Drosophila melanogaster: one gene and its partners. Changing the gene in region 3 together with the main gene of any one other region gives a genetic interaction. Each region holds a gene or a part of one and is shown on either strand. Other genes may lie near its edges.

Region 1 (8,069 bases), on a different chromosome or scaffold from region 3:
AATGGGAATGAGCATTCCATGTTGCACTTTGCTGCTGGCACAGTTTCTGCTTTTCGGGAGAAGACTTCCGCATTTTATTTAGCCGTTCTTGTTATTGTTTTCGCTGGAAATGGAGGCCAGTATCTTTGGTTTTGGCTTTGTTTGGCGCCCTTAACGCTCAGAATGCTGGCGCATAAATAACGTGAGAATTATGGTACAAGAGAAGCCAGTTACAGCAAGCAACATACAGGGAAAAAACCCAAGAAAGAACAGGGCATAAATATGCATGCGCGGCAATAAAGAAATTGGTAAATGTCCCGGTCGCAGGACCATTGTGGCCAACTGTGTGCCACTTTCCGCTTTTAAATCGCGAAATTTTGGCCAGCCAAATGGCCAGCAAAAAGACCAACCAACGATCGCAGCAGTCAGTCGTCACTCAGTGGCCACGTCACGCGTTCGCAATTGTTTTTGGCCCGCATTGCCAATTACGACACCATCAGCCACCACCAGCATCAGTTGCTGCAGCAGCAACATCAGCAGCAGCAACTGCAGCAGCAGTAACTGCAGCAGCAGTAAGTGCTGCATCAAACAGCAGCGTTTATTCGCAGCCCCACAGCCTGCCAATTTATGGGATGCACCTCGCTTTTGGGCCAGTTTGCCTCGTTTTTTGGCAACCAAAATCAAAAACCGCTTATTATCAGCGCTTTTTATGTTTGACTGCTTGGGGGCCAAAGGTCTTAGGAGCATTGGCACTTCGGTTATTGGATTTTGGCTGGGTTTGAGAGGCACAGGGTCATATATAAAGATTTATTATAAAGTGTGAAGTTGGGATTGTACTTGAGTAGTAAAAACTTCAAATGCTCTTATGGGCTTAAATTTGTAATAAAACAACGGCTACAGCGTTAGTTCCGAAAAATTCCTGGTAAGGATCTAAATGCTGAAAATATTATGTTCAATAGAAATATTGGCTAATATATAAACATTTTAAAAAAATTACTTTTAGTCTGATTTTTATCCTTTAAAACATTAAATTGGTTACCTTTTTTTGAGTTAGAAGTACATACATTTTTCGCTGGAAAAAATTGCTAAATTTGAATTTGTTGCACAAGGCAACCGAATTGGATAACAACTAATATGGAATATCCTTGTGATATTTCTGTCAACAGTTTGACAAGCCTTCAAATTTGGTTTGACAGCCACTGAACTGTCGGTTGCGTGAACTGGAGCACTTGGTTGCCAGGCTGATAGGCTGCCAGGCTGCCAAACTGCCATCTGGCTGCTCCTCCATATCCGAGTCCGAGTGGCGGGCAAACAAATGACATGGCTGACATGGCTGCAAGTCATCGGCTGGGAGCGTGTCGTGTTTGTCATCGCAGATACGCGAACACGCTAATATCGTAGTCCAGTCCAATCGAATCCAATCCAATCCAATCCGCTGGCACTTCCAGACACATGTGACAATTGCCCAGATCCCACTCCTAAAAACAACCTGTTGGCCGCTCTGTGTCGTTATGACTGTAATTGGGCGAAGTCGTCTGGAAAAGTCAGTTTCACTTTTGCAGATGATGAGCCGCTGATTTGGGTCAGCCACACCGCTCGAATCCATTCCAATCCTATTCGATTCACACCTCGCTCTGGTTTGTTTTCCTTGCTACTCATTGCAGGCGGCACATTTGCATGCAACAGCGAACGGTTACGATGCCCGTGAAGCGAACGGAGGTCTACAGTCGTCCCACCTGGAAGCACGTGGCCACGCCCTGCCAGCCGCCCACCTTTAGTGGCCAGAAGTGCACCAGGGTGCAGGTGGTCCACGAGCAGGCCTACAGGGACGTCATCGATCACAAGACCGCCCAGCAGATGACCTACGACTGCTGCACGGGATGGAGCCGGGAAAACCCAAGGTCGGATTCGTGCATGAAACGTGAGTCTTAAACAAAATACATAGATTGCAATGAATTTGGAATATTTTTATCTTCTAATTATTTACAGCTATTTGCTCCGCGCGCTGCCAAAACGGTGGCAATTGTACGGCTCCTAGCACCTGCAGCTGTCCAACTGGTTTCACAGGACGTTTCTGCGAGCAGGATGTGGACGAGTGCCAGACGGAGAAGCCATGCGATCAACAGTGCATCAATACGCATGGATCTTACTTCTGCCGCTGCCGTCAGGGATTCGTTCTCCAGTCGGATCAGCAGAGCTGCAAGAAGGTGTCCACGAATGCGGACGATGCGTTCGAGGCTCGGGATCTGGAGAACGATATCGATGATACGGACGCGGAGGTGGCCACGCGACTCCAGAAGATCGAAAAGTCCTTGGCCAATGAGCGAGTGCACACGAACGAGCTGCAAAAGTCGCTGCAGGCCACCTACAGTGTGGTGGACACACTCAAGAGTCGGCTAAGCACGCTGGTAAGGATTAGAGTTGAACTTCTATATTTGAATATTCATACTTTAACGATTACTTCGTATGCCCTCAGGAAAAGCAGGCTCAGGATGTCAGTCGACTGCAGACGAATCTCTACAAGACAGAGTCCCGGACGAACAAGCTGGAGGGTATGCTGAACCTGCTGCTGAAGTGCCGGAATGGCCCCAATGCCAATTGCCCCTAAACAGAACTGCATTTCCCCACGCTATTATTAAATGTTAGTTAACTTAATTGACCACTCCGTTCATGTGTAGCTAGATGCTCCTGCTTGTAAGCCATTCCCGAATGCGAGTCGAGTGCCTCTGTAGTCTGTAGAATTAGCCCACGGATCGGGCTATTAGTACTTAAGCGAGAACGTGTGTCATAAATGTATCGAGATGTGAAGTTTTAGACGTAAGCGCACCACCGCACTCTGCACCGCTCTTCATGTGGGTGGTGCAGTGATTAGTTTCTGCATGTATCTGTATATAATTTTAATGTATATGAGAAATCACTGCACGAATAAATGCATTTTCTGATTTTAATGGGTCTTTCATGGGATATTTAACAAAGGAAATCTATTTATCTGGAAGTTATCATGAAAAAAAAGGTAAAGTGCTGCAATATTTACTTTTATATATTGGCTACAACTTAACGCGCAACATAAAATTTGGTTATTTTTCCTTTTAAATGCAATAATGGTGAGTCAACAACTATTTTTATGACCTCGGCTGTAAGCTGACCTTTTAGCGGGGATTCCCACCAGCGGAGACAATCGATAACTGTAAGAATAATATCGAGTGTGGGCAAGGCTGCGCAATATTCGCTAGTATCGAACTGATTGCCATCTCTATCACCAATAACAAACAAATAATTGGACTGCACAATAGAATTATTATCAGTATAAATATAGGGGACAAGACCAGCATGATTGGAACCATGCCACCGTAGTTTCATTCACAACAACAAAGCACTACTCACTGGAAACATCCCGAAAAGCAAGCAGTGACGTCACTGGCAAAACAAAGCAAAAACTGCGCAGAAAAACCAGGGAAATCTGTTAAGCAAGGTCCATCGTTAAAAAGGGGCGGGGGGTGTTACAGAAACTGATCCCCCAGATTTCACTTTTACCACAATTAAAACTGATTAAAAATCAAAGCGCTGCGAGTTCAAAGTATTCAGTTCACGATGACGCGCGATGAGAAACTGCCACTTAAACAGGCGGAGGTCTCCATCCAAAGGTTTCAGGATGTGGCGGTAGGTTATTTACTATATCTTCTGAAGAGCGGAACTAATTCCTTAACACTCATAGGTGCCCCACCATCTGAGCCTACTGAAAAACCATCGCAGCAATATAGAAAAAAGCCTGGCGCTCGGCGACTGGCAAAAAATCAAAAAGGAGGAACTCAATGCTATGAGGGTCATTAAGCAGATCAAGAATCTACTTCTGGAAATGGATGCACTGCGAGAAAAAGTACGGGAGGAGGATCTGGAACGTTTCGACGACCTAATGAAACCTGGCAGGGATACTGCCTTCGCTGGCATGAAGGAATTTGCGGGTAAGTTTGAAATGCCATCTAAATTCTTTCGGCTTTACCAACACACCTACTGTATTTTTAGAGCTCCAACTCAAATCACCCACCTCCACTTTGAGTTCTCAGTACGACGACGATCTGGACAATCAGCCACAGGAGGTGGATATGAACAGTCTACCCGCACACCGCCACATGCCCCAGCTGCAACTCAATTTCCAGCTGGAGGAACACCAATTGGCGCAGAGGCAAGCCTGCCTGGATCAGATGGAGAACCTGCAACAGGAGATCTACGATCTGCACGGGATGTTCCAGGGAATGCGTCAACTGACTGCAGAGCAATCAGTGGCGGTGGAAAAGATAGCAGACAATGCGGAGGAAGCTCTGGAGAATGTCCAGCAGGGCGAATTGAATCTGCGCCGGGCGCTCACCTACAAGAAGGCCATGTACCCCGTAGTCGGAGCTCTTCTGGGCACCTGTGTGGGAGGACCCATTGGTCTGGTGGCGGGCATGAAAGCTGGAGGATTGGCGGCAGTAGGATGTGGCATCCTCGGCTTCACCGGTGGCTCTGTGCTAAAGGCCAATCCCAATGTAATGCATGGCAACATCGAGGAGGAGCAGGTGGAACCGGATAGCGAGTCAACTGAGAGACTGGAGCTAAAAGAGAAGCCAGAATGACCCGCAGGAGGAAGTGCCCGATCCGCATCCACGGCTCTGGCCACCACGCACATATGGTCGGCGAACACACGACGTTTGGAGGCAGCCACCAACGGAGTGATTTGCAGCGTGCGCAGCTATTGTTCCGTTCAGTAGAAATTTGACCACGATTTTAGTTCAATATCCCCATTTTGTGATTTTCCACGTGCAATAGAGCTAATGAGCATAATGTAACTGCACTTTAGTTTAAGCGTTGGATACTTGTTGTTCACATGACACCGCAAATGTGTGTAGATTTTAAGGCTTTAATATGCAATAATAACTCGTAGCTTTAAAAAAGTAATGATACTATTTGATTGCCATGTTGAGAAGTTCAGACTATATCTGGGTTTTTCAGAACTTGTTTGGGCTTTAATATGCAATATATACTCTTAGCTATAACATCTTTGTAGAAAAAGCCTACAAAATCTCCTAAACTAAGCGAGGACTTATAAACTACGATAAGATACCAGATGGGTAACCCAGCCCCGGATTTATAGGGGAACATTAACCGTGGTCCAGGCCTGTTTGAAGTTCTTCTTCTGCGAGTGCTGCTTCTTTCTTAGACGCTTGGCGGTCTTCTTCTTCTTGAACCACGCAGGATAATTGCCGTACTGATCTTTGAGGGTCTTGCTGTTGAAAATGTGCTCCACGCCCGTGTTCTCGTTGGTCACCTTGACTTTCTCGCCCTTCTCCAGACTCTCCTGGTGCTCGTAGATCAATTCCTGCTCCTCCTTGGATTTGGCCTCCTGTTTTAGGAATACAATTTCTTCTTTAATAAGGATATAAAATACGTAACAAGAATGAAGGTAGTATCGCGATAAACTAAGCCGGTTTTTCGCATATTACATGCATACAATACATATAATACATTAGGTAAATTGGTATATTTGTAGGTGGGTATATCACATAACTAACCCTTTTGAGCTCCTTGGCGGTCTTAATTTCGACCACATCGCTTATATCCTTCATGATCTCATTTCCATCGGCATCTAGGAGTCCCAGAGTTTTCTTCAGTCGAATTAACTCCTTGGCTTCGTACCGCGCCTTCTTTATCTTATTCATTTCATCACGACGCTTTCTCGAGCGATTGTTTCTGCCCATTTCGGTAGTCGGATATTAAGTAATACCAGAAAAAGTCAAAGAAGTAAAGAAATTGCGTTCAATTTGCTAAAAACGTAAACACGTGTGTTTTTGCTAGAGCTGGAAAACTGCCCGATTTTTCTTCGATTTTTTTCAGCGGGCTCTTATCGATAGCGCAAATAAATTAATCGACCAGGGCTTATTTTTAGTTATTTAGCCGCCAAGATTAAAAATTGTTTTTTTTTTACTCTCGTTTTTTAAATAGTTTTATATACTTTCTATGTAAAAGACACTTATCTGTATAGAAATATGTGTCATATTATTTAATTACACCTTATGTCCTTATTTTCCCTAATATGCTGTAGCGCTGTTGTATCAATTATCAGGTACATAAATTTTTAAAAACCACAAAATATATTAAAACATATTAAATTCTAGTTTTTATGACTTTGCCTTTAATGCATATAAGTTATAACTTTTTTAAAAACCACAAATTAAGCTTTTGTGGCTTTTTTCCACTTCCATTTTCGTTTCCATTCATCTCTTTCTTCCCCTTTTCCACTCTGTATTTATTTACCTTTTGTTCTCTCTCCTTTTCAGTATATATATATTGCAATATGATTTTTGTATACAAACAAAATCAGCTGCTGAAGAGAAAATGAGAGGCTTGCCAAATACGAAAAGTAACTAAAATAGGAAATATAGTCGTTGTGAAATGCTCTACACCGACTAGATTTTTAATACACTAAATAGAATTTTATAAAAAATATATGATTGTACAAAATGCAATAGTTTTCTCTAATAGCTAAGACAATGCATATAATAGTTTGTTTAACAGTTTAAAAGAATTCGGCTTAAATGCACTTACTTTTTAAAGACCTTGATAAAAAGGTTTTCACAAAGAGATAGACTGTAAAAATGTCCTAGCTATTTAGCCAAAGTATAAGGTATTGTTAATGTACAATACAATGTGTTTACTTCAGTGACATAGCTGAGTTACTTTCGATTTGGATAGAGCATCCGAAGAGCCTCTCTTGCACATGCGCAGCAGCAGAAAGAGGCAGAAACAGGGTAAGTGTGTCGGGCTCAGCTGTAGAGCCACCAATACATGGGTAGCGCACCAACACCAGCGAACAGCAGAGGCACACAGATAGGGGGGCAACCAGCTTGGTTGGCCAGTTTGTAGACCTTCTGCCATCATTCGCTCGTCAGTCGTTGTTGCTAGCATACGTCACGGAGTTCCTGTAGCGCTGCTCTTCTCCGCACTCTCACCCCCGTCAGTTAAGCAAAAACGGAAGTAATCAGCACAAAAAACAATAAGCACGCCAATTAAAAAACATTTCGAAAACTGTGTAAAAAGCCTTGCTGGTGCAAATTATTGCAGAGAATACGGGTAGATTCCGACACCGATCGATCAATAAACTCCGCGCAGCAAGTAAGTGCAGTTTTAACCCCCCCAAAGAAAAAAAGCAGAAAAATACTGAAGCGGAAGTCCTTCTCCAAGGAAAGGACATTACACTCACACACGCACCAACACATGCTCAGATATGTTTCTCAAAAGTTCTGCTGCAAGCCGATTTACATGTACACACATCCCAAAGTGCAGCCCAGCGATACATACGAAAAAGCAGGAAAAAATTCTGATTGCACCTTCGCATCCAAAGAGTTCACACTTTTGCGGCTGTGTGAGTTTTCCTTGGCTTTCGGCCAGGCCAACAGTTTTCCATCTCCACATGCACTTACACACACACAAACACCGATTTTCCCCCAAATTGTATTTGGCTGCAAATCGGCCGAGTTTCTTGTTAAGGGGATTTCCATTCTGGGCATCTAATAGCCATAAATTTGACTTGCATCACGTTTTCAGCATTTTTAGCGATCGTTATCAGATCCGTGCCACATCTCAGATCTCTGGCATTTCCCAGCTGAGTGCACTGCTAAAAATTTGCCTAAAACCATCTAATGTAGAGCTTATTGGAATAATGAGTGTATAGAATTAAATGCTAACATAAAGCGTTCAGAATTTCTCATACTCTTTTTAGAAAAATTTCTCTCTGTGTTCAGACTTACATATTAGCTGCTGCACTTTGCCCCACGATCGAGTTATATATTTTTTTTTGTGCAATCATTGTGTGTTCATGGAGTGTCAACTGGTGATGGCAAGTGCAATGAATGTTTCGCTGATTAACATCTTAATTAGCCTTGCAATTATTTCCTCAACTATAATATTATGGCCAAAAAAAATCTCCTGGATGCCTGCCAACATTTGCTCAGATGTTGAGATCCGAGAGGCAAACGAAAATAGGGAGCATTTCGAGGAGAAACCTTGCCGCTCCACAGCCACAAAAGCAGGCCCAAAAACCCAAGTGAATCATG
Region 2 (8,889 bases), on a different chromosome or scaffold from region 3:
TCCTCGTGGATTTTGCCTTGTCAATAGTCATTTTCCTCGCGGAGGTTGCCTTCTCAATAGTCAATTTCCTCGCGGAGGTTGCATTGTCAATGGTCAAGTTCCTCGTGGATTTTGCCTTGTCAATAGTCATTTTCCTCGCGGAGGTTGCCTTGTCAATAGTCAATTTCCTCGCGGAGGTTGCCTTGTCAATAGTCAATTTCCTCGCGGAGGTTCCCTTGTCAATAGTCAATTTCCTCGCGTTGGTTGCCTTGTCTATAGTCAATGTCCCCGCGGAGGTTGAGTTGTCAATAGTCAATTTCCTAGCGGAGGTTGCCTTGTCAATAGCCAAGATCCTCGCAGAGTTTGCCTTGTCAATAGTCAAGTTCCTCGCAGAATTTGCCTTGTCAATAATCAATTTCCTTCGCTCCGCCTCCTCCGTCTGCAAAGTCTTGTGGTGCACCTCAACGCGATCCACAAGATTCTTGGCCGCCTTCTGATCAGCTAAATTCATCTCTGCACGCACCTTGCGGAGAGCAAGGCAGTCAATGATGCTATGACTCTGCCAAGTGACCTCCAGGTCGGCGGGGATTGGTGTTCCCTCTGACGCCAAGCAGCCCTGACTCGTCATTACTTGTTTCTGGCAAATGTCCATGAACTTGTCTCGCCGGCTAAGCAACGCGTGAGGCGCCAGGTCCACATCCCCCAGTTTCCGGTGATTAAAGTGGGTGATTAGTTTTCCGGTATGCGAATTTACCCCCACGACGGTTGCGACATCGAAGTGCTCTGGACAGCGTATGCGCATCTCGCTGAGCGAGCAGGCCAAATCCAGATTTGACCGGCACCACACTACCATATCCTCCTCGTCGTCCTGTTGCGGCTCGACATAGGGAATTAACCGCTGCAAGTTCGGACGCGGCGTTCCCACGTCGCAGAGGGCATTAAAAGATGCAGAGCATTTCATTTCTAAATATAAAATTTATATTTTTTTGTACAAAAACTTCAGGCCAACTTATAAAACTGTGTGAGGGGAAACTGCATACATATTCGATTGAACTGAATATTCCAATCTTAGGATTCGAAAAATACTATAAATTGTTATGGCTAAATACTCGGGCTGATCGCTATCTTTATATGTACTCTTCAGACTGCTCTTTGTTTTAAAAGCTGAGCGATTTCAGAGGACATACAAATAGATGTACATATATGGCTTCACATGGCCATTGGAGCAGAAAAAGTGCCTACTTCAATTCGAAAGCAGTTAGTATGTCGCTAATCTATGACTGATTGCATATTCTATTTGGACACAAAAAAAAAAAAAAAAATTATTATTCAATAAAAAATAAAATACATAAGCAACAGTGGAAACAGCCTAGCAAGACAGCCTCCTTCAAAAGCTCGATCCTGGTTGGTTCGCCGGAAGGTACTCCGTTTTGGTCAGTCAAGTGATGCACAGGCTCACACCCGCCAGTCGCCGATGATTTGGGAAGAGGGCACCAGCTCGAATCGAGCGTTGGCCAGACTCGGTGGCACACCAAATCTAGAGCAAAAATGGAGGGAAATGAGCCGGCTGCCCAGATGACCACCTCTAGCGCTTTCGTTTCTGCTTACCTGGGACGGAAGAAGGGAGTTGGGTGGCCAGGGAACTTGGGAATGGAAGGCGGAGCAGTCGCCTTGGGCTGGACTTCCGGTTTAATCTGCTGCCTGACAGGGGCAGTGCCCGCATCCACGCTGTCCAGGGTGTTCCTCACCACAAATTGCTGCCTGGGCTGTGAATTGGATTGCGGTCTCGTTCGAGCTCCTGGCATGGGCAAAAAGCGAAAGAGCCGGGTAGAGACGCCGTCATCATCTGTCACGTCATCGGTGGACAAATCATCTCCTCCAGCCCCTCCGACTCCGTTGGCAGACGGAACAGCACTATCAGCTTGTCCACCGGCAAGCGGAGTAAACACGGCAGCCAGACGCACAGGCACAAAGGCTGGGAGCCGCACTGTAATGGGAGTGCCGGAGGGCGGAACAGCCGGTGACGGGATTGCAACGGAGACTGGTATGGGTGTGGGTCGTGGCGGAGGAGGTGGTGGTGGTGGCAGTGGAGGCGGAGGAGGTCTACGTGTGCTGGCATCCGCTGGCGACGCAGTCGTTGTTGTGGCCGATTCCTCCTCGACCTCCTTCCAGGCCTCCAGCAGGGTCAGCAGCTCATCCTTGCTCATGTGGCCGAGACCAACGGGGCTGTAGGGCCACTCGCCCACTCCGAGTCCACTACCAACACTATTCCAGCCTAAAGAGGGCACTTGTTCCACTTGCTCTACGTGACCCAGCGGAGTCTCGAACAGGCTCCTTTGGGGACGTGTGAGGAGCAGCTGCTGACCAGCCAGCCCATTGCACAGGATCTGCATGAGGAGACCCAGGAGCGTCGCACGAACTGACCCGGCCATGACTGACTTTGTATTGTGGAGCCTCTAGGTGGAGCAGTGGCTTATATATACATACCTGCTTTCAACGGAACGAGGAAGGAGGCCAAGCCGAGCAAAACGGAAGCGCACGCATTCCGCTGCGGGTGATCCGATCACACGATGAGAAAATAGGTTGACCGCAGTCCTCGATGGGCTCAGAGTTAATTGAAATGCATTCGATTTAAGATCACAGTACAAGCATTTTAAATAATGTCATAAGCTTTCCCGCTTTGATCACAAACTTGTGTATATCTTAGCATTCTTCGGTATGAGCAGAAATGGGAATGGTTATTCGCATTCGCTTGCAGGGCTTCAATTCATAATATACATAGATGAATAAGTCGCATTCGATATGAATTATTTTCCCAGTGCAAAGATTTTTCCGGTGGTCGCTTGAAACGCACATTCGCACGCAGCTCCATCGCCAAGTACCACAGGTAGTCCATATAGTTGGGTCCCTGCCTCAAGTCCAAGTCCGGTTTCGCGGGCGAACCACTTTTCCTTCTGGGGATGGATGTGGATGTCCATGCAGAGGATGGTCTTCGCGGGCGAACCGGTTGGGCTTGGTCATCGACTTTTGGGGGGTCCAACCCACTTCCGGCATCTGCGCCAGCGGATTTGAGTCTGCGAAAGCGGCGCGACGTGCCAGGGATTTCGATTTATGTTGGTTAATAATTTAAATAAATATTTATTTATATTTAAATATTTGAAATAATATATTCGCAACTCGATTGCCAATATAAAAAATAAAAATACCAAAGACCAATTGGTCGGATTGGGACTCAAAACAGCTATAGAACAATGCATCTGGGCGCCAGGTTCATGGGTGAATCGAAGTATTGTACTTCTATTGAACTTCTGGGGATCCTTAATCCGCATCCTGTGTACAACACACGCATACAAAAAGCAAACTCCACATTACAGCAGAGCGCAAGCTGTCAAAGCTGTAGACCTGGGAAAATAGCTTTGCGGGAAAGCCCGGAAACTCGAAAGCGCCATTTTCAGGGGCATGCTGGCTTGAAAACGAGTTGAAAGCGTATTTCCATATCGTGCATTTAAAGAAACGAAGAAACGAATGGTATAATGGACTTCCGTTAATGTGACCGTTGGCGGTCGGTACTCTGAGATACTCTGCGGTATTCGGTATGCCTCGCACCATTCGGTATATTTACACGGACATACCGGTGACGTGGTTACATTGCAACAAACATCCACAGAAACCTCCAATCCACTCCAATCCCAGACACCCGCCCGCCGCGACGTTGCAACACAGTTTTCATGGTAGCAGCGAACGTTCCCGATTCGAGGCAGAGTCCATTTGGAAGTCCCGGGCATCGCAGGAGCACTGCGGCAAGCACCGACCGATCGGCTGAGTTGTGAAATCCAAGAAGTGGAAGAGGACGACCGGACACAAACTTCACACACTGGTGACTGGACTGCAGCGGATCCACATCGGAATAAGTAGCAGCCAGTGGAAGGAGGCGACGGCAGAGTGCAGCCGTGGCCAAGAAGACTTGAGACGCAGCCCCGTAGTTCCGCGAGCAATCGTAACCAGGAACAGCAGAAGCCATGGCGCTGCTGACCATGATAGCCAGGGTCATCGATGGCCTTCCTCTGGTGGGGACCATGCAGGATGACGAGCAGGTACCCGTGTGCATCACTTTCTAATACGTTGCATTCCGTTCCGCTCCCGCAACTAAGTCGCTTTCACTTTCAGAGCGGACGCAGCATACTGGACTACCAAAACCAGGCTAAGATGCTCTTCCGCAAGCTGGGTACCCACTCCCCGGCTCGATGCAGTATCGAGACCGGACCCTACCTATTCCAGTGAGTAGCCCCAATTCGTGGCACCTTTGCCAGGGCATAGACCATTAAAATCACACCATGTACAAAGGTTTCTCGGCTCCGCGGGTAGTCAGTGACAGTTGATTTAGTTTCGGAACAAAGAGTATAGATGTAATTTGATACGAAGTTAAATTAAACGCTCACTGCTTGCGAAAGCCAGAAGATGCAATGGGCGCCCCAATTAAAATATTCCACATTTTCCCTGCAGCTACCTAATCGAGAACGACGTCTGCTACCTGGTGATGGTGGACAAGATGTACTCAAAGCGACTGGCCTTCAATTACCTGGAGGACCTGGCCCAGGAGTTCCATGCTAACTACGGCCGGCGAGTAAACTCAGTGACTCGCCCATACGCATTCATCGAGTTTGACGTGTACATACAGAAGGCGAAAAAACAGTTGACGGACCGCAGACGCAACATCAGCAACATCAACACACAGCTGCAGGATGTGCAGCGCATCATGGTGCAAAACATTGACGACGTGCTCCAACGTGGCACAGTGCTGGCGGGTAACTACTACTACTACTATCTACGCGACTATCTACGCGTGATTGTGGGATTCAACTGACGTTCACCCCGTTTTTCCTTCCAGAACTCGACACCAAGACCCAGAACCTATCGATGATGTCACAGAAGTACAAGAAGGACGCCAAGCTGCTCAACCGAAAGTCCATGTACGTGAAGGCGATGGCCTTGGGCATGATACTTCTAGTGTTCATCATGTATTTCTGGGTTCTGTAATATCAAGCAGTTCCATGGCCACTCGGAGCGGCGCGTTCTTTGTTGGAGTCAAGCGTCAAGGACGCAAGACCAAAAGACATTTAGATTACGCGTGCACCTGTACTCCACGCCACCAACCACACCATATTCATTCATATCTATGAATCATAGGCAAGCGAAAAGTGAATAGCGAAACCCCCTACCAGCATACGCATCGCTCCCGAGGATTGTTTTACTTCTAATATTAACTTACCTTTGCGTTATTTACGGTCTGGGATTCCATTAATTATTAACTCCCATTTCATTTCGCCTCGCGCTTCCGTTGCGCAGGTTTTCTAAATATTTGATTACGAATCGGGTTTAGTTTAGACGACCTTTGAGCCAAGTCGGTTGACTACGACCCAAATCTGTAAATTATGAGCGTCGATCCGTGTGTGTGTGTATAAATGTCTAGATTGTAGATGGATCGCTGCATAGCGAATCCGAATCCGGCGGAGTGCTTGATACAAGCTGCAAAAACACCGCAAAAAACAAAAGAAAAAGAAAAGATAACAAGCGAACCGAAAGAAAAGAAAAGAAGAGAAAGGGAAATAAACAATAACAGTTTTAGGCAATTTATATGTGTAAAATTAAGGCAAATAAATAAATTTATATTGTTTAATAAAGAGAAGGCAAAACTGTGTTCGATGCACTACCCAAGCCCGAAAGATAGAAACTGCATCTGATTTTTGGTTTAGTTTTAATCGATAATTTCCCTTTATATATTTTTCGATTCACTGAGTGTGATGTGATACATTCGCCTTTATAGTTTATATCCACTTGCAAGCCTTCGAATTACGATTCTTCTCAATGAATTTCTCGATCTGATCCGATCCCGATCCCATTCGGTCTCATATCGTCCCGCTAAATGTCCGTTTTCGTTGCGTCTCAGCGCATATAAATTTGTAATATCAAATCTTTACAATTAGGAAAAAAATGCGCTGTTGCCATATACACTGCTATATCGTAATTTGGTGTGTATAGTTTTGTGAAATATCGAATCCGAATACATATATACGCTCTCTACATAACTACATATGAATGCATATGCTTTGTGGGGGGGGATGTGTGAAATGGTCTGCAATAATTAATTAACTGGGGAGAAGAGCAATCATCTACCGAATTTTGCAACCTCCTCTGGCTTCCGTGTACTAGGCTGTGGTTCTGCTGAAGCTCTGGTGGTGAGTGGGATCGAAAATAAATTACGCGGTCTATAAAATCGAAGTTTTAGTTTATGCGAAAACCATACGAGTCGGGCGTGGCGGGGCGGGTCGGGGCGTAACTGGAACTATTTAGATATACAATAGATGGGTATGCTTGGTTGATAGCCCGCACTAGGCTCAAAATTCTTTAAAAAATATTTGCTTTTCTCAATTGGATTCTGCTAATGCTACTATAGTTCGCTTGTTTTGTTTTTTTTGGCTTCGTTTTGTATAACTATATTTTTCTCGTTCTTGGCTCCGACATCTATACAAATTCAGAAGGCAGTTTTGCGCGTGGAGGGACAATTACAAATTGAGATTCATTAAAAAGCATCGAAGAGCAATAACACTCAAACATATCATTTTTATAGGTGTGTTTTGCATTGCCTTTACTTGTATGTTGGTTTGAACTATGAAAAATCAAAAATAAATAAATAAGTCAGGAACAATCTGAACTTTGAGATTCTTGTTCTGTTTTCGTTTCTACGCATACCCTCATGCACTTTCGGGTACGCTGGGCTTATGACTATCAAAAAAAAATAATATATAGTATATATTTATATATATATGCCTGCTGCTGCGGTTTACAAAGTAGGTTTAGAGTACGGGTACCGTCGTTAGCTTAGAAAATAACTTTAGTGAGTGGTGCGCAAGGAGAAGAAGGTCCATCCCAGGCCTATTAGGCTAAGTCGTATTTTTACCGCTATCGCTATCCATCCGTCTATCTTTATATCTTTCTATCATTCTATCTTTAGTTTCATATTTGTAGCCACTAGGCCGGTGCATATGTATCTGTTAGTTGTATATGTCTGTTTAGCTGTGATTTTCCACCTTTATGTACAATGTGTGATCCTTTAGCTCTACTTTAATCCTTCTTCGCTACTCTCTAATTTCCTCTTTTTGATTATCTTTTCCGTAATCCTCAACGTGCAGGGAACCATCGTTCTTCTTGAGATCCTCCAATCCCACTCTTCTCTATTTAATCCTCTGGTGATCCGGTGTGCTCTTCAGGATATCAGGCTGGTGGTGCTGCTGGATATGGTGGTGCTGATGATGACCCGAGCTCAGAGTGCCCGGTTGACTTCCCCCGCCGGCGTGATGGGAGCTGCTCAGCGTGTGCGAATGGTTGGAGTTAAGCGTGTGTGTCGCATGCGAATTGAGCGTATTGTGGGCCGTTGTGGTGGCATTTGTAGAGAACCCGGTGGCCACCGCTGAGCCACCACCCAAGTTTGGCCGCTGGGAGGTTCTTAGCGAGCGATGCGACCCATTCCTCGTCAGGGAGTTCATCTGCGGAGTCCCGGGCACCGTGTGTCCCAGCGCATTCATGTAGTCTGCTATCAGCAGTGTGATTTCCAATATTTTCGGCTTGCTCATTGCGAAGAGAAGCTTTTGCTCACCGCCTCCGCCGTCATCGTGGGAAACCACTAGCATAAAGTCGTCCTGGCAGCCGCCAAAGGTCATAACGGAGCTATACGGATACCTGGCCACCGGAGCCATTGTGGACAGCTCGAGGACATTGAGAGCATCTTCTGCGACAGCCAACCAAGCTACCGGGGTAGCTCCCGAGGCGGTGTTGGATTCTGGACTCTGTCTGGGCTTCGCCTGAAACAAGCAAGCTCCGAAATATGGCCACTTCCGGCAGCACGTGAGATAAATGCGCACACAATCCAAGGTCGAGCGGCCCTTAAGGAGCATCCACTTGGAGACCAGCAGCTCTTGCACATCTTTCAGCTGCTCGGCACCTAGGGCGTCCCTATAGCGGTACGGGTAAAACTTGTCCAGACCCTTAAGGCCCACACCCACATCCCTCGACTTCTCGAGCGAATAATCGCCCATGTCGATCTGAGACATTAGCGAGGCCAGCTCCAAAGCTAGCTCTCTGGATAGAGGGAATCTGCCCTGGACAATCTGGGAATTGGTCTGATAGCAGAGGAGCAAACGCTCCTTATCTGTCTCGCACTTGATGGTATGCTTCCAGTACAGACGGTTCTTGTAGCTAAGTTGAATCACCCGAGAGTTCTCGAACTTGCCTGATCCCTTTTCCCGCAGCGCCGTCTCCCACTTGCTGATCACGTCGCACAGCTTGGCCAGCGGTTCCAGGTAGTGCTCCAAATCCTTCTCGATAGGATCGTCGCTGAACAGACAAAACCCGTTGGTCGCATCCCTTGTGCCCAGTTCGTGAGCCAAAGTGGCCTGGAACTCCTCGATGGTGGTGGATCCATCAAAGGAGACAACCTGTGGGTTTATCGTAGAATAGAGTGAGAAACTGATGTTGTTTGGATAATCAAATAATCAACAGCTCACCTGGTACGTGCTGTTCATCATATGCACTGGAATAGCGTGCGGCAAGGAGTGGTGATACGGATTTTTCAGCAGAATCGACAACACTTCCATCCGCGAAGGCTTCGTCTCGCGGCCTCCATTCTTTAAGGTCCTTTCTAAAGCACGCTCGCAGTAGGCAGCATACTTGCCCGTCTCAGTTTTGGTATCGGCATTCCGGGACAGATGAAGCTTGAGGTACCACAAAAGGCGGCTCGAACGCGGAACAAATAGGGAAACGGCCAGGGCTAGGAGTTGCCAGCCCTGGACAAAGCTGTATACGGGCGGGTTGCTCTTGCAGTCGATTATGGGCGTGGCGGAAGGGGCCTAGAAT
Region 3 (7,701 bases):
CAGCACGAGGACAGCCTCGCCACACACATACCTCAATTAGTTATTTAGTAGTCTAAGCCTGAAGTGCGCCTTTGTTATAGAGTTGGCCGCCAGGTTAATTTTACAACAAAAGTCTGGGGCTGAAAGCCAGCCATCCCAGCCAGACGTTCTCGGATGGCGAATCTGCTTTCAGCTGCAGTCGACGACGCACGACGATTGCTTTTTGAATATTTCAAAGTAATTAACAATTGTTTTTGTTGACATCTCGCCATTTTGTACGCATACGAACGAATTAACTGAAGCCAGCCTGAGAAACCCAAATTCACAACAGAAAAATTTCCAAACTCACACACAGACAATTACTTAAAGTATTTGAAAACTTACCACAGCCCGAAACGCACTCTTCACATACCCATACCCTTATCCTTACCCATACCCATACCCATCCTCATCCGCATCCAGATCCCCATCCCGATCCCAACCGCAATCGAAAAGACCTCCCAACAAACTTCCTCCATACGCTGCAATAGTACAAGTTTTACAACCAAACAATATATATCAAATATATATTTAAATATAGAAATTATATATACACACACACCACAAGTACCTTATCCCCGCAACCCCCGAAATGAATCCAACAATAGCCATAGCAATTTGTTGAAAGAACTATTATTTGTTGAACAATCAAAATGTTGTAATTAATCCAGTTAATTCCGATTTCAATCACAAGTGCCAACAGATCAGGCAAGCAACGCTGAAGATGAATCACATTTGATACAGATTACAGATATGTATTTGTATAATCATTCTTTTGTACTCTTTTTATAAGATAGTAGGCATGAATTTTTGTACGCCTCAACGAGCTAACTATTTTAAGCAACAGTTTCAGTTACCCATTTCTTTGCGTTTGGAAAACAGCCACATGTATTGGAAAATTTGAACCATTTTGGACCAGCACCACTCACACACATCTTATAACAATTATTTGTAGTTTTACACACACGAAATTGCAGGGATTTTGTCTTATTTCATATTCTCCTACAATAAACTGATAATAAATTTGTAAAACCATTAATGTTCATGTTGTTTATGTGGTGTTAACTGTGAATGAAACTAATGGATTTTCCATTTCAAATATACATACGTGCATATGTGAAATTTCTTTGGGATCCAAATTATTTAGAAGCGCAAAGTAAACAAAGCCAGTTTAAATTGTATGTTTTTTTTTATTATTTTGTAATACGAAAATTTAATACAATTTGCGATTGAAGTACAATTACAAATGAAATGCTTAAGAGAAATGAATTGTGTGGAAACCAAGTTGAACACAAAATACAAAAATGCTTGGCAAAAGGTAAAAATATACGACTAAAGTTACATTTAGTTATTGTTACGCTTGCTATCGCTTAATGGATTGCAATTTTGCTTTACATAATTATGAAATACATGGGGCGCCGTTTTCTGGCTAGGATTAGAAGGAGGGAAAACAATCGGTTTTGTGCGCGAAGGCAGAGCAGACGGATTATGTCCGCTCGAATGATGCTTGGGTAAGAGGTTGTGTTCCTCTCGATTCAGTGTGTTAGTCTTTTTGTTGCCGCTTCTGATGATCGCTAAGGCTGAAGATCCGCAGGGACCCCGCTGCACCTAATCGCCTTTGCGAGGCTTGCGCTTGCGCACCTGTTCCGTCTTCTCGGGCGCAGCATCGCCGGCCTGCTTGGGCTCCGGCTTCTCTTCCTTTTCCGGCTCGCTGTCGGCCTCCTTCTCTTTAGTGGCCAGATCGCCCACCTGCTCCTCGCTGTCCTCTTCCTCTTCGTCGTCGTCCTCCTGTTCTTCCTCGTCGCTATCGCGTTGCTCGTCATCGTTCTCCTCGGCGTCGCCATCATCCTCGATCTCCTCGGTTGCCAAATCCTCCAGGCCCTCGGTCAGATTGTCCTGGGACTCGGAGAAGCTCTGGCGCTGCGACTTCTTGGGTGGGTAGACAAAGTCCACAAGGCACACGAGCAGCAGCCCCAGGGCAGCGCCCACGAAGATGGTGGCGATGGCGAAGAGGGCGTAGGAGCCCCACGTGGGCAGTCCGTATTCCTCCTGCAGGCGCCCGTTGAAGTCCTTAAAGAGTTTTTGCGTATGCTATTAGTACATGAACCCAACATACAAGACAACAGCAGAGAGCAAAGACCAGAGTAATGAGTGATGGGCGGCAATCTTTTGTGGGTCAACGGGATCAACCCGCTGATAAGCTTCCGCTTATGTCTCATGCAGTGAACCGATGCGATAATGGGCTAGGTGAACGTACCTTCAGAGTGTGCGAAAGCTTGAAGAAGTAGGACAGCACGGACATGTGGGTGGTGTCGGGCTTCTTCCAGGCGGACAGCGGTTCGATGCTCTGCCACTGCTGCTTCTTCACGAAGTAGAGGAGGGCGTCGCCATCACGGGCCCCACGATACTGCCGGAACTCGCCATCTTTTACGCTGGAAATGATTGACGTGGATTACGACGATGTGTATTTCATGGGTTGAAAAGGTCTATGTGGTGCTCACTGGTAGATGGTGGGGAGGGCGGTGACAAAGAAGCGTCCACTCAGCGAGGGCGAGGTTGTCACGTCGATTTTGGCCACCTGCACCTGGACATCCTTGGCCACGCGGGCAAACCGCTCCCAGGTGGGAGCCAGGTTCTTGCAGGCCGGGCACCATGGAGCAAAGCTGTGAATGGAGGGAGAAACATATGTTTAACACAGCTGCCGATGAGTCATCGTCGCCGCAAAGGAATGTCTGGTATTTCGGAGAACGAAAGAACCAGCTTGCCGGCTGGAGAAAGCCGGCGCACCACGCCCCTTTATGTTACGTCAGGGGCAGCGGGGTTTCATGTGGGTAGGGACTACTCAGAGCCACCCTTTCGCACTCACAACTCGATCATCCATTCGCCCTGGAGCATCAGGTGCCAGTTGTCCTCGTCCAACTCGATTAACTTGCCACCTGGCTGCAGTCCTGACTGCGCTGCTGCCGTCGACTGCGCCGTCGCCGCCAGCAGAAGCAGCGCCGCGCATGTCGCGGCCACAAAGTACGATGTGCTATGCATGTGGTGATGTTTTGGTGCTTTGCTCCGCCGATTCGTGTCCTGAAACCTGTGACGTTCGGCTGCGACAGTTTCTTAAATTAAACTAAAGCTTCCGTCTTGGTCAGTTCCAAAAAGTTACAGAAACTGCGACGCCTGCTGGAAAATTGACAGAAGTGCTGGTTCGATATCCATCGGAGATGGCAAGCCGCTTTATTCCCCGCTAGATCATCGGTAGGGGGATTCGGTCGGTATTCGCTCGTTACACGATTTTTTATTTATTAGATCAAGCTTCAAGTTTTCTTACATACAAATTCAATTTTTATCGTATCTTCAAAATCATTTTAATTATAATAACTTATTTTATTGAAGCCTCTGCAATGTCAAGCTATTTATAAGTCGATTGAACTGCATACAAATACTACATTTGTACCATCGCTATTGCAATCGATAACTCCAGACAACAACAAAGAAAATAAAAGTTTACGAAAACATAACAAAATTCGACATTTTGGAAGTTTCCCTCGCCACAAGAAATGGCCCATAACTACCTGCAGCCAGTGCACGATCACTTCGATGACGTGGACAGATTCGAGGACGTGGACGACGACCTATTCCTGCAGAACAAACGGACGGGAGCAGCCAAGCTTCCGCAGCAGAGGAGCACCAATCCCTTCGAGATGGATGACGATGACGAAGAGGAGATAACCTCGTCGCCATCAGTGGCCGCACAGCGACTGGCCTATGCTGAGAAGCGAAGGGCCATTGAGCAGCGAACTCTGGACTCTACCAACAAAAGCTTGGGTAAACATGGGGTCAATTGCCAGCCAATTAAGGGGCGTTATTGATGCGTCTCTCTCCTACAACCCCCAGGTCTGCTCTACGAAACCCAGGAGGTGGGTAAGGCGACGGCCGTGGAGCTGGCCAAGCAGCGGGAGCAACTGGAGAAGACATCACATCAGTTGGACGAGATCAGCTCCACGCTGCGCTTCAGCCAGCGCCATCTGACTGGTCTGAAGAGTGTCTTCGGCGGCCTCAAGAACTACCTTTCGGGCAACAGGGACCAACCACCCACCGCGACTGGTTCGCCCACGGGCAGTCAGTCCTCCCAGGAGGCCAATAGCAACATTAACCAGGGTGCCTGTGGCGGTGCTAGCCCCTCGGCTCCGCTATCACCAGCGGAGCGCTACGACAATCATCCGGTTAGCCAGCTGCGTGGTGATCCCAGCAGCACCTACCAGCCCCAGCGACAGGCGGCCAATCCCTTCCAGGCCCAGATCGATTCCAATCTGGAGGAGATGTGCAGCAACCTGTCGGTGCTGAAGATGCTGGCCACCGATCTGGGTGGCGAAATTGAGTCGCAAAATGAATTGCTGGATAACATGAACTACAAAATTGAGGATGTCGACTTGAAGATTCACAAGCAGAACAAGGACATGAGCAAGCTTCTGAAGAAGTGAACAAGCGAGCATTCGCATACTATTGTATTGATCATTGCTTAGAATAGCCCTCCCTTAATATACAAATCTTAGCCATACCATATCGCACGGTGAGCACTTCACAAGGCCATTAAGAATGCATTCCTCATTATGTTTCCTAGTTTTTTATTGTTACACACACCAAAACAATTCTCTCAATGGAGTGCTCGTAGTTGGAGAGCGATAAGTGTTCAGTTTTAAATAAAGATTCATATAAAAAGCAAGTATATCTGGCCTAGTGTTTCCCCGTCTGGATTGGAATACATTATACATTTTCGGAAGATATCTCGAGTTGCAGTGCTCGCGCCCTAATAAAGATATATAGTTCTTTGTTTGAATTCGATAACTTCCGGACAACAGCGACCAATCGATTCGCTAAAGCTATCAAGCAATCGAATTCCAGTTGATACCATCGCTGGAAAGCTCTTTTCTCAAACGCATCCAAAAGAATAGCGCCAACTCAGCGCATTCCGGAATTCGTTTCGTAAATATTCTGTAAATTTTGCGATAATGGAAGAAAACTTCGAACCGTACACCCCACAGTTGCTCAAGAATCCCTTGTCCTATTCGTGAGTAATAAGATACATATTAAAGGCACTCATGACCACGTGCAACTCATTCTGCAGGGATCTCGTGAAAAAGGGCGTTGAGTTCGAGGTCGACAATTCGCAGCAGAACCATGCCAGGGATCTGGGTCTCGACAGCGACAGCGACAGCGACTACGAGGATGCGCTGGACGTGGACGGCGAGGAGCTACGTTCACCGTGGACATATTCATTCGACGAACTGCGTGCGCTGATGAGCGAGATCGACGAAAACATTTACAAGCGGATCACTCGCACCGGTCACGTGGATCGGGAGGCGGTGCCGAACAAGGCTAGGGTCTCGGTTCGGTACAGTGGCTACTGGGAGGGCGAGACCGCTCCCTTCGACTCCTCCCTGCTGCGGGGCAGCAAATTCGTGTTTGAAACTGGCCAGGGAACGGTGGTTGAAGGCCTGGAGGTCGCCGTCCGCAGCATGCGTCCTTACGAGCAGGCCGAGTTTATAATCTCCTACAAGCTGCTTTTCGGAGAACTCGGTTGCCCTCCGCGGATCAAGCCCAAGGCGGATGCGCTCTTTAAAGTGGAGGTAATTGACTACTCGCTCATAGGAGATGCGAAGGGCATCGATGCTATCCCCCAAGAAGACCGCGACAAGTTTTGTGTGGTCTATCCGAAGGCTGTCGACTTGCACCTACATGGCAAGGACTCGGTGAAGCTCGGACGCTATCAGAGTGCAGCAACTGCCTTCGAACGGGCAGTGAGCTCACTGAACTACTGCCGAATGGCCAATGACGAGGAGGAGCGCAAGCAAACTGAACTGCTTACTACCCTGAACGTAAGTGGCCAACAAGAATAGCTTGCAGAGGCAGCGTTCTCGACCAGGCAGTTGATTCCTTGTCTCCTTTCTCAGCAAAACCTGATGATCGTTTACAACAAGATGAACAAGCCGAAGCGCGCCTGCATCATGATGAAGGCCTTACGGCACCTGACCATGGGCAATCCGTCTTGCAAGGCGCTCTTCCAGGAGGGACGCGCCCTGGCCGCTCTGGGCGAGTACAACTTGGCCCGCAACGCTTACCTGCAGGCGCAGGCCAAGCAGCCGGCGAACAAGGAGATCAGCGACGAGATTATCAGCATGAACAAGAGAATCAGCAAGTATGAGGAGGCCAGTCGCGATATATGGGCACGTGCCTTCTCGTTAAAGAACTCAAAGTCAGACGTCCGCAAAACGCCTGCTCAGCTGGAGAAGGAGGCAAAGGAACAGGATTTCAATGACAAAATGGAAGATTTGATTAGGCGGTTTAAGAACACTTCAGATCAACAAGTGAGCTTTTCACGTAAATCTTATTCGAACGCTCAGTTCGACGCGACTTGCAAATTGGCCAAGGAACACAACCTGAAGCTAACTTTGTCTCCCATCCAAGAGGATGTTCTGACATTGTCTAAGCCGGATGTTAAGTTCGCTTGAGCTTACTAAGAAGCCCCAGTATTTCATATTTCATATCTTACTCAAAAAAAAAAACATACCAAACATGAAGGTAATTTAGTTCCAAGTTCTAGAAGAGCAGTATCATTAGTTATTTCGATATTAGCAACATGAATATCGTAAGCCCAGACGAATGTTAACGTTTTTTGTTATTTAGAGCAACGTAGACCTTAAGTTGTTAAAAACCACAATAAAAGTAATGCACGGCAGCTACATAATCGTCAGGTACTACTTAATTTACTTTCCATTACTTTGCTCGAATTGGCGATGCAGGCACTCCAGGCACGCACATCCTTTGACATGTCCAAGTCTGGGCTCTACGATATGAACCTCCTGCAGCTCAAAGCTGTCGGAGTCGTAGCTCGTAAATGATTCCGATTTCACAAACTTGCAGCACACGCATATACAACCCAAAATGCCTGGGAAAATAAGAAAGTAAGAGGATTTGGTCTAAGAGCAACTCACATCCGTACTTAAGGAGACTATCCAAAGAACAAGCAGCAGGAGCGGACAGAAAAAACTCCTGGCCATAGGTAGTTCGCCCGCACTTAAGCTTGCTTTTCCATCATCAATGCCCAGGACGTTTTCAATAAATGTTTCCGCTTGGGATTTCGTATCTGCCATTTTCTCGAAGAAAGCTATTTTTTTTAATTGGCCCGAAAGTTTTTGATCTCCTCCAAACCTGTTTAGTTAAACGACTGTCTATGGCTACCAGCTAGTTCCTAATTCAAAGCTTGGGATTGTTCAGTGTCGCAATAGATTAAAGAACAGTTGTGCCGCCCTGATGAATGTAAATGTGTTTTTACAAGATTGTAACTGCAAGGCAAAAGAATTCTTCCACTGCACTGCACAGTACATGAAAACTAATGGATTGGTTCAATTTGGTTTGAGGGACTCAACACAGGGACATATTTTATTTAATATTTATAAAGTTTTTAATTCACACAGACTCCATTTTTGACCACCGTGCACCATTTGTAGCCGTCGACTTTTTTTGCACCAGATTTGTCCAGAAGAGCAGCCAGTAAAATTAAAATAATAGTTTTTTTCAGCATCATTGTAGCGTTTATATTGTTCATCAAGTGGATTATATTCACAAAATGAAGTTTCTGTTTGTGGTGTCTAAATATGCATGGAAAATCAATTGGAAAACGCATTTTCA
Region 4 (8,013 bases), about 14 Mb from region 3:
CAAATGGCAAAAATGGCAAATAATGTGGACGAAAGAAAACACATTGATTGGCTTGATTATGCACAATAAACCGGAGTCGGTGACTTTTGTCAGCTTTCCATTCGCTTATGGTAAATTGCTGGGCGCTACTGCCAATTAAAATAGAAATTGTTGACCAGCCGAAAAGTCTGTCGTCGTTTGCTTTGCATAAAAAATTAAATCTTCAACACACAAACGAAACATACGAATTGTTATTGCTGTTGCTTTTTTTGCTGCTGCTGTTGTTGCTGCTTCTGCTGCACGCGGTGTAAAACTTTCGAATCCGCTGGCTTTGTATCGTATGGGATCGGATCGGATCGTATCGTATCGGATTGGATCGGATGGGATCGGAAACGTTTGGATAGAGCAAAAACGCTCTGCACAGGCGCGTAACGTGTTTTCGACTGAGCTCGGGATCGCGACTGCGCCAACAGCAGTTCCGAAAGCAGCAGCGACGCTCCAAGCAGCAACAGTCCCAGTTTTAATGAATGAAAGCGCAAGTTTTTACCGCTTTGTCAGGCCAACAATATGCACTTTTTGTGCGTAAGGCAACAAAGCCCGTCCTTTGAGTTCACACACAAAAGAAGAGCAAAACAAAGCGAAAACAAAAATTGCTTTTTGGCCGAGTGTCGTCTGCCATTTGAATTCGAATAAGACGTGCAACTACCTATCGATAAGTCTATGGCCCAAGTCGAATTTTCCAACACTTGCGCTTGTAAATGAGAATACTTATCGGAAAACAAATCGTACCTGAAAACGATACTTAGTTCATAAAATGTGTAGTTTTCGGAATAAATTGCATGCAGATTCTAAGGACATGATACCAAAACACTCAAATAAGAAGCATTATGTAGAAAGTGCACGCGTATACATGAGAAGTGACTCCTCAATTTTAATCAAATGCTGCCTTTGTAATGTGGACACTTTTGGCGGTGACAAATGGAAGGAATTCATGAAGCACCTGGTTCAAAGGCATGGAAACGAAAGTGGATTTAATGCAGATGAGGATGAGATCCAGGACGAGGTTCAGGTGGAGATGACCAATCTCTTGGCGGCGTCTATTGCTCAGGAATCCAAGTTGGCGGAGGTACAGGAATCTTTCAAAAATGTAGAATTTATGGAAGAGGAGGTGGAACCAAACTTTTCACCAGAGAAAGAGCAGGGCCATGATGAGCTCGCAAGCAATAGCCACCATGTAAGCAGCCTTGGTTATTAATGACACTTGCTTGACTTCGATTCTTTGATTTCCACAGGACTACATCTCGAACCAACCCCACAAAGCCTTCTACAGCCTGCAGCGCACCAGCCCCGGAGTTATTCAGTACTTCATACAGCAACTGCGGAGACACAAATTCTTCTGGATAACTGAGCACGGGATCAATAAAAAAGATCGCATGGATAGTTCCCAAAAAGTGGCAGAGGCCCTGTTCCATCGATTTCACTTCCAGTTGGACCCAAAGGTGGTCAATGCCAGTGCCCGTTTCCTGCAAGTCTGGTTTGAGCGACAGTATGTAATGCAGTTGAGCAGCTCCGACTTCCGCTGTCGCTATCCAAAGTACTACCACAGTTTGCTGAAATTCATGCCCACGAACCACATATCAGTGACCATTTGCGAGGAGTGCGACCGACGGTTTCTTAACGAGCGCCTGCTACGGCTGCACAAATTCCGCGTCCATGGGGGACCCAATCCGAATGTTTGTCATGTGTGCCACCAGAGCTTTCCACTCGCCTCCAAGCTAGAACAACACCAGGCACGGTACCACTTTAAGCGGCCGGAGTGGCAATGCAGCAGATGCGATTACAATGCACCTTCCAAGTGGGACTTCCAACAGCACCAGGCCATGCACGCGGGGCAAAGGAACTATATCTGCGAGCTGTGCGGGCACAGCTCGAAGACCAGCTCCGCCCTGGCCGTTCATCGGCGAACTCACGACCAACCGAAACTATGTTGTCCGCACTGCAGCCGGCAATTTCGAGAGAATAGCACCTTGAAGAGTCACATCCGGAAAATTCACGACGGTAACAGTGCGCGGCAGGTCTCCTGCGACTTTTGCTGGCGGAGATTCAAGACGCTGGAGTTGCTGAAGCTTCATAAACTGGTTCACCTCCAAAGCGAAGAAATGGAATCATATGAGGACGATGATCCAGAGGAATTGAACAGATTCGTTAGTTAAGTACGTTTCGAAAAATATAAAATAGTAGTTTAAATTTCTTTAAAAGTAAAACGATTTCAAACCTTAAATGGAAATATATCATATAACTTAATTTGTATACATTGTAGCGTAACTTAATTATATATATCAATAATTTACATATATTCTTAGCTACTTTAATAGAGACTGCTGTAGTTTTTTAAGTAGAACCCTACGCGATTTTTATCTGAGGTGACTTTTAATAAGCTATACACTATTTTGTTGGTATTAAACTAACTAGAACCACATTCTCGCCGCGTATTAAAATCTGTGGGAGCTCTCGCCGAATCTCCACGTTTTTTCGGTTTAGATTTTTGACTACAGTCCTGGGAAGAGTGATACCCAACTCCTTGAGGCGGCCTGTGCAATCAACAGGTGTGTCGCATATGTTTTGCTCTCCGTAATTGTACTTTCGTCGCTTCCAGGTTTCGGTAACATTCCTCAGTAGGAGGTTCCACTGCTTGTCAAAGGCCAACAGTTCACCCTCGACACTGCCGCCCACCGATCCGTGTTTGCGAATCACCACCCGAACTCTTCTCCTTTCGTTGGATTCATTGTGGCTAGCAGGGGATATACACTTCGTTAGGAGTTCCAATGGACCGACAGCTGCCTCCATGTAGGTGAAAATATTTCGATGATGCTTCTTTCTGCTACTAGTGGTAGGCATCTGGTGCGGCTCAAAACGTCGCTCAGGAGGTAGAATATCTACAGCCTCGGAAGTGGAAGCCTTTTTCGATGTCCCCTGATCTCCTCCTTCTGCGGATCCCGGCTTTTGGCGCTTGTTCAGCTGCCAGATGCCGAATTTTTTAAGTGCACTCTCGAAGGCAGCCAGATTCTGGTAGATGACCTTTGGAACAGCATCGGTCACCCTAAAATTGGGTTCGTATAACGCTCGCAGAGGATTAAACCTATCACTGCCCACATCCAATTCGGAGATTTCCGACGAGTCGTCCTCATTCGAAGTTTTCCGGTCCCTCGATTCCATGACACTGATTCCCGAAGTCTGCCGATAGAAGTCTGATAGAACAAAGAACCTTAAATTTTTTTCTTTTTCCGCTTAAAAGGCAACAGGCTTCTTGCAATTGTTATGTAAACAAAGGAGCACGAATTCGCCGGCTGCATGCCCGATAACAGTTATCGATTAACCTGGAGGGAGCGGGGATGGTAATTTAAAAATAAATGTATTAAGTCTACCCTATCACTGAAAAATAGCACTAAGAACCAGGTTACATTCCTTATCATCAGTTGCTACTGTCAAAATGACCGCTGATATACATAGATGCATGTGTTGTCCAGCCTTGGTAAGAGATCTTCATCAAAGGAGAGCTTTTTGTCCAATAAACCTAATCAGTGGAGCTTTTGACTCAGAGAAAGCAACAAGTGTTACAGCGCAAAGGAGATGGCAAGTGAGTGAAAAACCGGGATTAGCTGGGAGATCCTTAAGTAACGTGGATTATCCTGCAGCCGGCGGAAATAACTCGACCTTTGACCTCAGTCCCAAGACCCTGGCGGCCGTGGGCGTGGGCCTGGTGGCGGTGGGCGGGGCTAGCTTCCTACTGTACCGCCATCTGACCCGCGATGTGGTTCCCCAAAAGTGGCGACGCGTGGGCACCGTGGAGAGGATACACTTTTTTCCGGTCAAGTCCTGTGCCCCTATGGACATCTCGAAGCCCGGAGTGGAGTACGACTGCGATGTACTGAGCATGTCCTTTGAGGGAATAAGGGATCGCACCTTGATGGTGGTCAATGAAAAGAACGAAATGATCACGGCTCGGGTGTATCCGCTTATGACCCAGATCAAGTCGAAGAAGGTGTCGCCCAGCAAGCTTGTGTTCAGCGCCCAGGACATGCCAGACCTGGAGCTGGACTTCGAGAAGCTGGACGGTCCTGGCAAGGATGTGAAAACTTCCGTTTGGGGCGTTTCCATAGACGTGATGCCCTGCGGAGATCGGATCAACACGTGGTTCTCCCAGGCCATCCTGAAGAAGGAGAGCGGCCTCAAGCTAGTTCACTATCCCTATCCGAAACCAGTGAGATGCACCAATCCCCGCCTAAAGTCCATGCCATTCATTAGACAGGAGGACTCGGTATGTTCCTGATGCGCAATTCGAAGTGTTAGGACCCAGATCACCCTTGATTTGAATTCTTTCCATAGGGCACTTTTAACGATGCCACCAGCTTTATGCTGATGAACCTTTCGTCGGTCGCCGATCTTAATACTCGGTTAAAGAATCCGGTGGATGCACTGCAGTTCCGAGGTAACTTCGAACTGAAAATGGATGTTGATGAGCCCTATGCCGAGGACAATTGGCAGTGGGTGCGTATAGGCGAAGATGCTGTTTTCCGTACGGTGGCGCCATGCACTCGCTGTATTTTTACCAACATTAATGCGAAGACCGCAGAGAGGAGTTCCGAAGGAGAGCCTCTCAAAACGCTCAGAAGGTGAGTCACTACCCATGGAAATATCTGAGAAGTACGACTTACAAAACCCGACCCTCATATCTGGAATCCACAGCTATCGCTTGTTCAACTACAGTTCGCCGGCTCTGGGCGTTCATATGGGACTTCGGCTGCCGGGAAAGGTGAAGGCCAACGACGTCGTGTATGTGGAGGACAAGTGAATATTCCATTATCTCTTCTAACACTTTATCCGGTATACATTGAAGTTTATTACATAGAACATAGATGAGAGTACTGTAGAGTTTTATATGCAAATATACATGTGTTATGAGCCTATAACAATATAAACAACTTTAAAGCTTGTCCTAAACACAGGACTGCCAAGCGAGGCCACCACAGGCCATGCTCACAATCACGTAAACGATGAAGGTTATCACCAGACCCACCACCACGTAGACGCGGATGTTCTTCCAAAACATTTGACGAGCCAAATTTCGGGAGGCCTTACGGAATGCAACGGACTGTAAGAGAGATCAAATGAAAAACACATTTAAAAGTCTCTGCTTGGCATCACCTTACATTATTGCTCAAGTTTTCGGTCTTGTTGACGAGCAGCTCTAGTTTCTCGCCGCGATCCCGCAAGCTGTCTGCAAATGGGATGAAAAGGGAATAGTAAACAAAAAGAACATACGGATTTTCCTTCCTTCATACCAATATTCTTAACCATAATGTCTTTAAGCTCGTCAATCTGACCATGTACTCGCGAAATGGTGTCCACCTCCCGGGACTGACTGAAATAGACCATCTGCTGGGCCAGGATCTTGGAGAACTCGGTGTTCATGGAGTAGGCGATGGCGGTGGCCACCTGTAGGCCGTAAGTCTGGATAAACTTCTGCTTGATATCCGCCAAGAAGAGGAAGGCCCGCGACCGTTCGAACTCCTACAAAGAAACGATACGTTATCGATTGGGCAATAAGCAACTGAGGTGGCTAATTGGGCCAGTGGTTCGTTCACCCACGTTGTCGGTGATGCACATGTAGACCAGTTTGTTCTCGCAGGTGTAGTGGATCAGGTAGTCTCCGTGTGTGTAGGTCATCTTGTGGTTATGCACCCCGATCCGTCCGATTATGTGCTCCGTCACTTCGGCAAAGTTGCCGACGCACTCCGCAAACTTCGCCAGCACTGTGGTGCCCCGCGATATCACACTATATAGTATCGGCATGGTGCCACAGATTCTCCTTTGCTAAGGGCGCGGTTGTTCAGCTCCTCAGGCTACTGCTTTGTTTTGCTTATCGGGGAATGAGCCGACGATCCGTCAATGATGACGTGCTCTCGGATTCTGAGAAATGTACATATCGATTTAGAAACTACTACTATCCAATTGCGAGCCTATCAATCTGAACAATAACTCTGTTTATGAGTAACATACGTATATATGTGTAATATGCAAATTGTTATATCAAAGTACTTGCTTTGTTTATCCAATTAGATCCGCCTCGAGTTGATAGCGCAACTGCAGATTTACATTTTGTGGTAAGCGGCTTAAGTTATTATCGATTTTCAATTGCTTTTGCCGAACACAATAAAAACATCACAATACCGTGGAATTAGCTCGATTTTTGCATTACAAATAACAACAATTGCTGACGCTTCGATGCAGTTATAAAATTAGAGGTGGAAGGACGGTACATCGACGCATCGATATTTAATGGAGCCGATAAGTCTGGCTTTATCGCACGGTCACACTGCATAACGTGTTTTACAAATTATGTTATACGGTCTTATGATTATTTGCATTTGCTTATTAAATTAAATGATCTCCGCAACTTAAATAGGGGCATCCCACCGATAGCGTTTCAGTATTGACGAGAGCATCAGTTCATCCAGTTGAGATTCTTCTCCCCGGACAAAGAATTTTCCATTAAAGTAAATTTAAATTAATAGCGTTCCCAAGCTTTTGCTCCTGAGATCTTTGAGCCTGGATCCATTCGTTTTGACAGAAAAAACCGCAGGTAATAACTTAAACTATGTACACACGCAAGATACAATATACGTAGTTTCAATATGCGCATATGCTGCCGAAATATTCGATTTAAAATTACTTATTTTAAAAGACTTAGAATTCTCATTTATTCTGGCCACAAATATGGCACGATTGCACTTTTTTGAGCCTTTTACAGGATAAGGTTTCTATAGAATTTAATATTAGAACACAATAAGCATGCTTAAATAAGATCATTTATCAAATCTTATAATTCGTTTAGGGTGTAGCTATCAGTATTTAAGTTGCAGAGTAAGAGCGTAATGGTTAACCATTGTTGATGGTTAATTAACCACCAATTGGTTAACCATTGTTAATGTTTAATTATCTTTGTTATTTTTTATTATTTTGATCTTGATTAAGAATATATATACTTTACATGGCCGGGAACGCTTCCTTCTACCTGTTACTTACTTTTCAACGAATCTAGTATACCCTCTTACCAAAGACACTAGAATAACAATATGCGTTTTTGGGAGGAGTCTAGAGCTGGCTCCGGCTCTCACGAATATTTGTTCCAGAGGGCGGAGAGCTTTACAGTCAGCAGATTTCATGTCTGTATATGTATCTGATAGTCGGAACCGGACATTGTTACCTAAAGTTTTATTTCGAATACAAATTGATTAACGAATCTTTGAGGCTATATTGATAAAATCTTATCTGATACCTGATAAACAAACACAAAAGTAAATAATAATAAAAAGATATAACAATGTAGTTCCTTCATTGCTTCCGTCATACATAAATATGTGCATTTGTATGTGCACGCAATGTAATTAATATTTAGGAGCCCAAATTCAGTTATGTATACCTATGCAAGCCCAATAAACAAATTTATATATAATTTAACGGCATTTGAAATTCCAGCGAAGTTTTCGCGAGATCTCCAAATCGATCTGGCAACCCTTGAGACGTACATATGTATGCAGACGAAATGGCAATCGCTAGCAACGTTGTCGAAGCGGGGAACGCGGTTCGCGCGGAAAAAGGCAGAAAATATTTTTATTTTCGAAAGATGATAGGAGATTATATTGGTGAGTGATGACCGATGGACGCCATAAATTATCTTTACGGTCGTGATTCGTTGCAGACACCTCTATTCGCATTGTAGCCACCGTGTTCTTGGCTGATCTGCTCCTTCGCTTGTACCGCTGTGTCGTCGAATATGGGAGCAATGGGCGGTACTATTTGCCCGAGGATCGGCTGTGGATAATCCTGCGGCGCTCGTGCACGTATAACAACAGATCGATATACCTGATTGTGGGATTCCTTCTCGTAGCTTTTTTTCGAATTTCGGTTACCGGGAATTACAGGAACGTAATGCCCACGACGCTGTTTCTGTTCCAAATGCCGCTCTACTGG

Evidence for each region.
Region 1: of Snap29 (region 3) and Syx17, changing one enhances a phenotype caused by changing the other (phenotypic enhancement), as found in Drosophila melanogaster (one study listed by BioGRID).
Region 2: of Snap29 (region 3) and Sec22, changing one enhances a phenotype caused by changing the other (phenotypic enhancement), as found in Drosophila melanogaster (one study listed by BioGRID).
Region 4: of Snap29 (region 3) and Vamp7, changing one enhances a phenotype caused by changing the other (phenotypic enhancement), as found in Drosophila melanogaster (one study listed by BioGRID).

What each region holds. Positions count from the first base shown.
Region 1 is NT_037436.4:4,400,257-4,408,325, forward strand, and holds Syx17 (syntaxin 17), read left to right. Parts: upstream 1-3,230; 5' UTR 3,231-3,570; coding exon 3,571-3,639; intron 3,640-3,694; coding exon 3,695-3,941; intron 3,942-4,002; coding exon 4,003-4,592; coding exon of another isoform or gene 4,593-4,727; 3' UTR 4,728-4,912; downstream 4,913-8,069. Other genes in the region: slow (slowdown), read left to right, coding at 1,644-1,900, 1,969-2,387, 2,456-2,587; CG15019 (uncharacterized protein), read right to left, coding at 5,105-5,359, 5,529-5,714.
Region 2 is NC_004354.4:802,487-811,375, forward strand, and holds Sec22 (secretory 22), read left to right. Parts: upstream 1-3,589; 5' UTR 3,590-3,998; coding exon 3,999-4,079; intron 4,080-4,146; coding exon 4,147-4,256; intron 4,257-4,482; coding exon 4,483-4,784; intron 4,785-4,867; coding exon 4,868-5,016; 3' UTR 5,017-5,714; downstream 5,715-8,889. Other genes in the region: CG13359 (uncharacterized protein), read right to left, coding at 1-940; CG13358 (uncharacterized protein), read right to left, coding at 1,435-1,516, 1,588-2,411; CG43867 (uncharacterized protein), read right to left, coding at 7,212-8,471, 8,541-8,882.
Region 3 is NT_033778.4:23,840,515-23,848,215, reverse strand, and holds Snap29 (Synaptosomal-associated protein 29kDa), read left to right. Parts: upstream 1-3,452; 5' UTR 3,453-3,569; coding exon 3,570-3,837; intron 3,838-3,906; coding exon 3,907-4,493; 3' UTR 4,494-4,733; downstream 4,734-7,701. Other genes in the region: CG5554 (uncharacterized protein), read right to left, coding at 1,627-2,109, 2,276-2,450, 2,520-2,681, 2,885-3,057; shu (shutdown), read left to right, coding at 5,022-5,080, 5,138-5,888, 5,964-6,521; CG46398 (uncharacterized protein), read right to left, coding at 6,777-6,958, 7,013-7,163.
Region 4 is NT_033778.4:9,836,219-9,844,231, forward strand, and holds Vamp7 (Vesicle-associated membrane protein 7), read right to left. Parts: upstream 6,285-8,013; 5' UTR 6,083-6,284; intron 6,008-6,082; exon of another isoform or gene 5,950-6,007; 5' UTR 5,833-5,949; coding exon 5,629-5,832; intron 5,551-5,628; coding exon 5,322-5,550; intron 5,258-5,321; coding exon 5,190-5,257; intron 5,132-5,189; coding exon 4,976-5,131; 3' UTR 4,862-4,975; downstream 1-4,861. Other genes in the region: CG1663 (uncharacterized protein), read left to right, coding at 971-1,213, 1,272-2,192; Lsm11, read right to left, coding at 2,425-3,195; Marc (mitochondrial amidoxime reducing component), read left to right, coding at 3,610-3,616, 3,675-4,297, 4,366-4,652, 4,726-4,831; sting, read left to right, coding at 7,586-7,685, 7,742-8,013.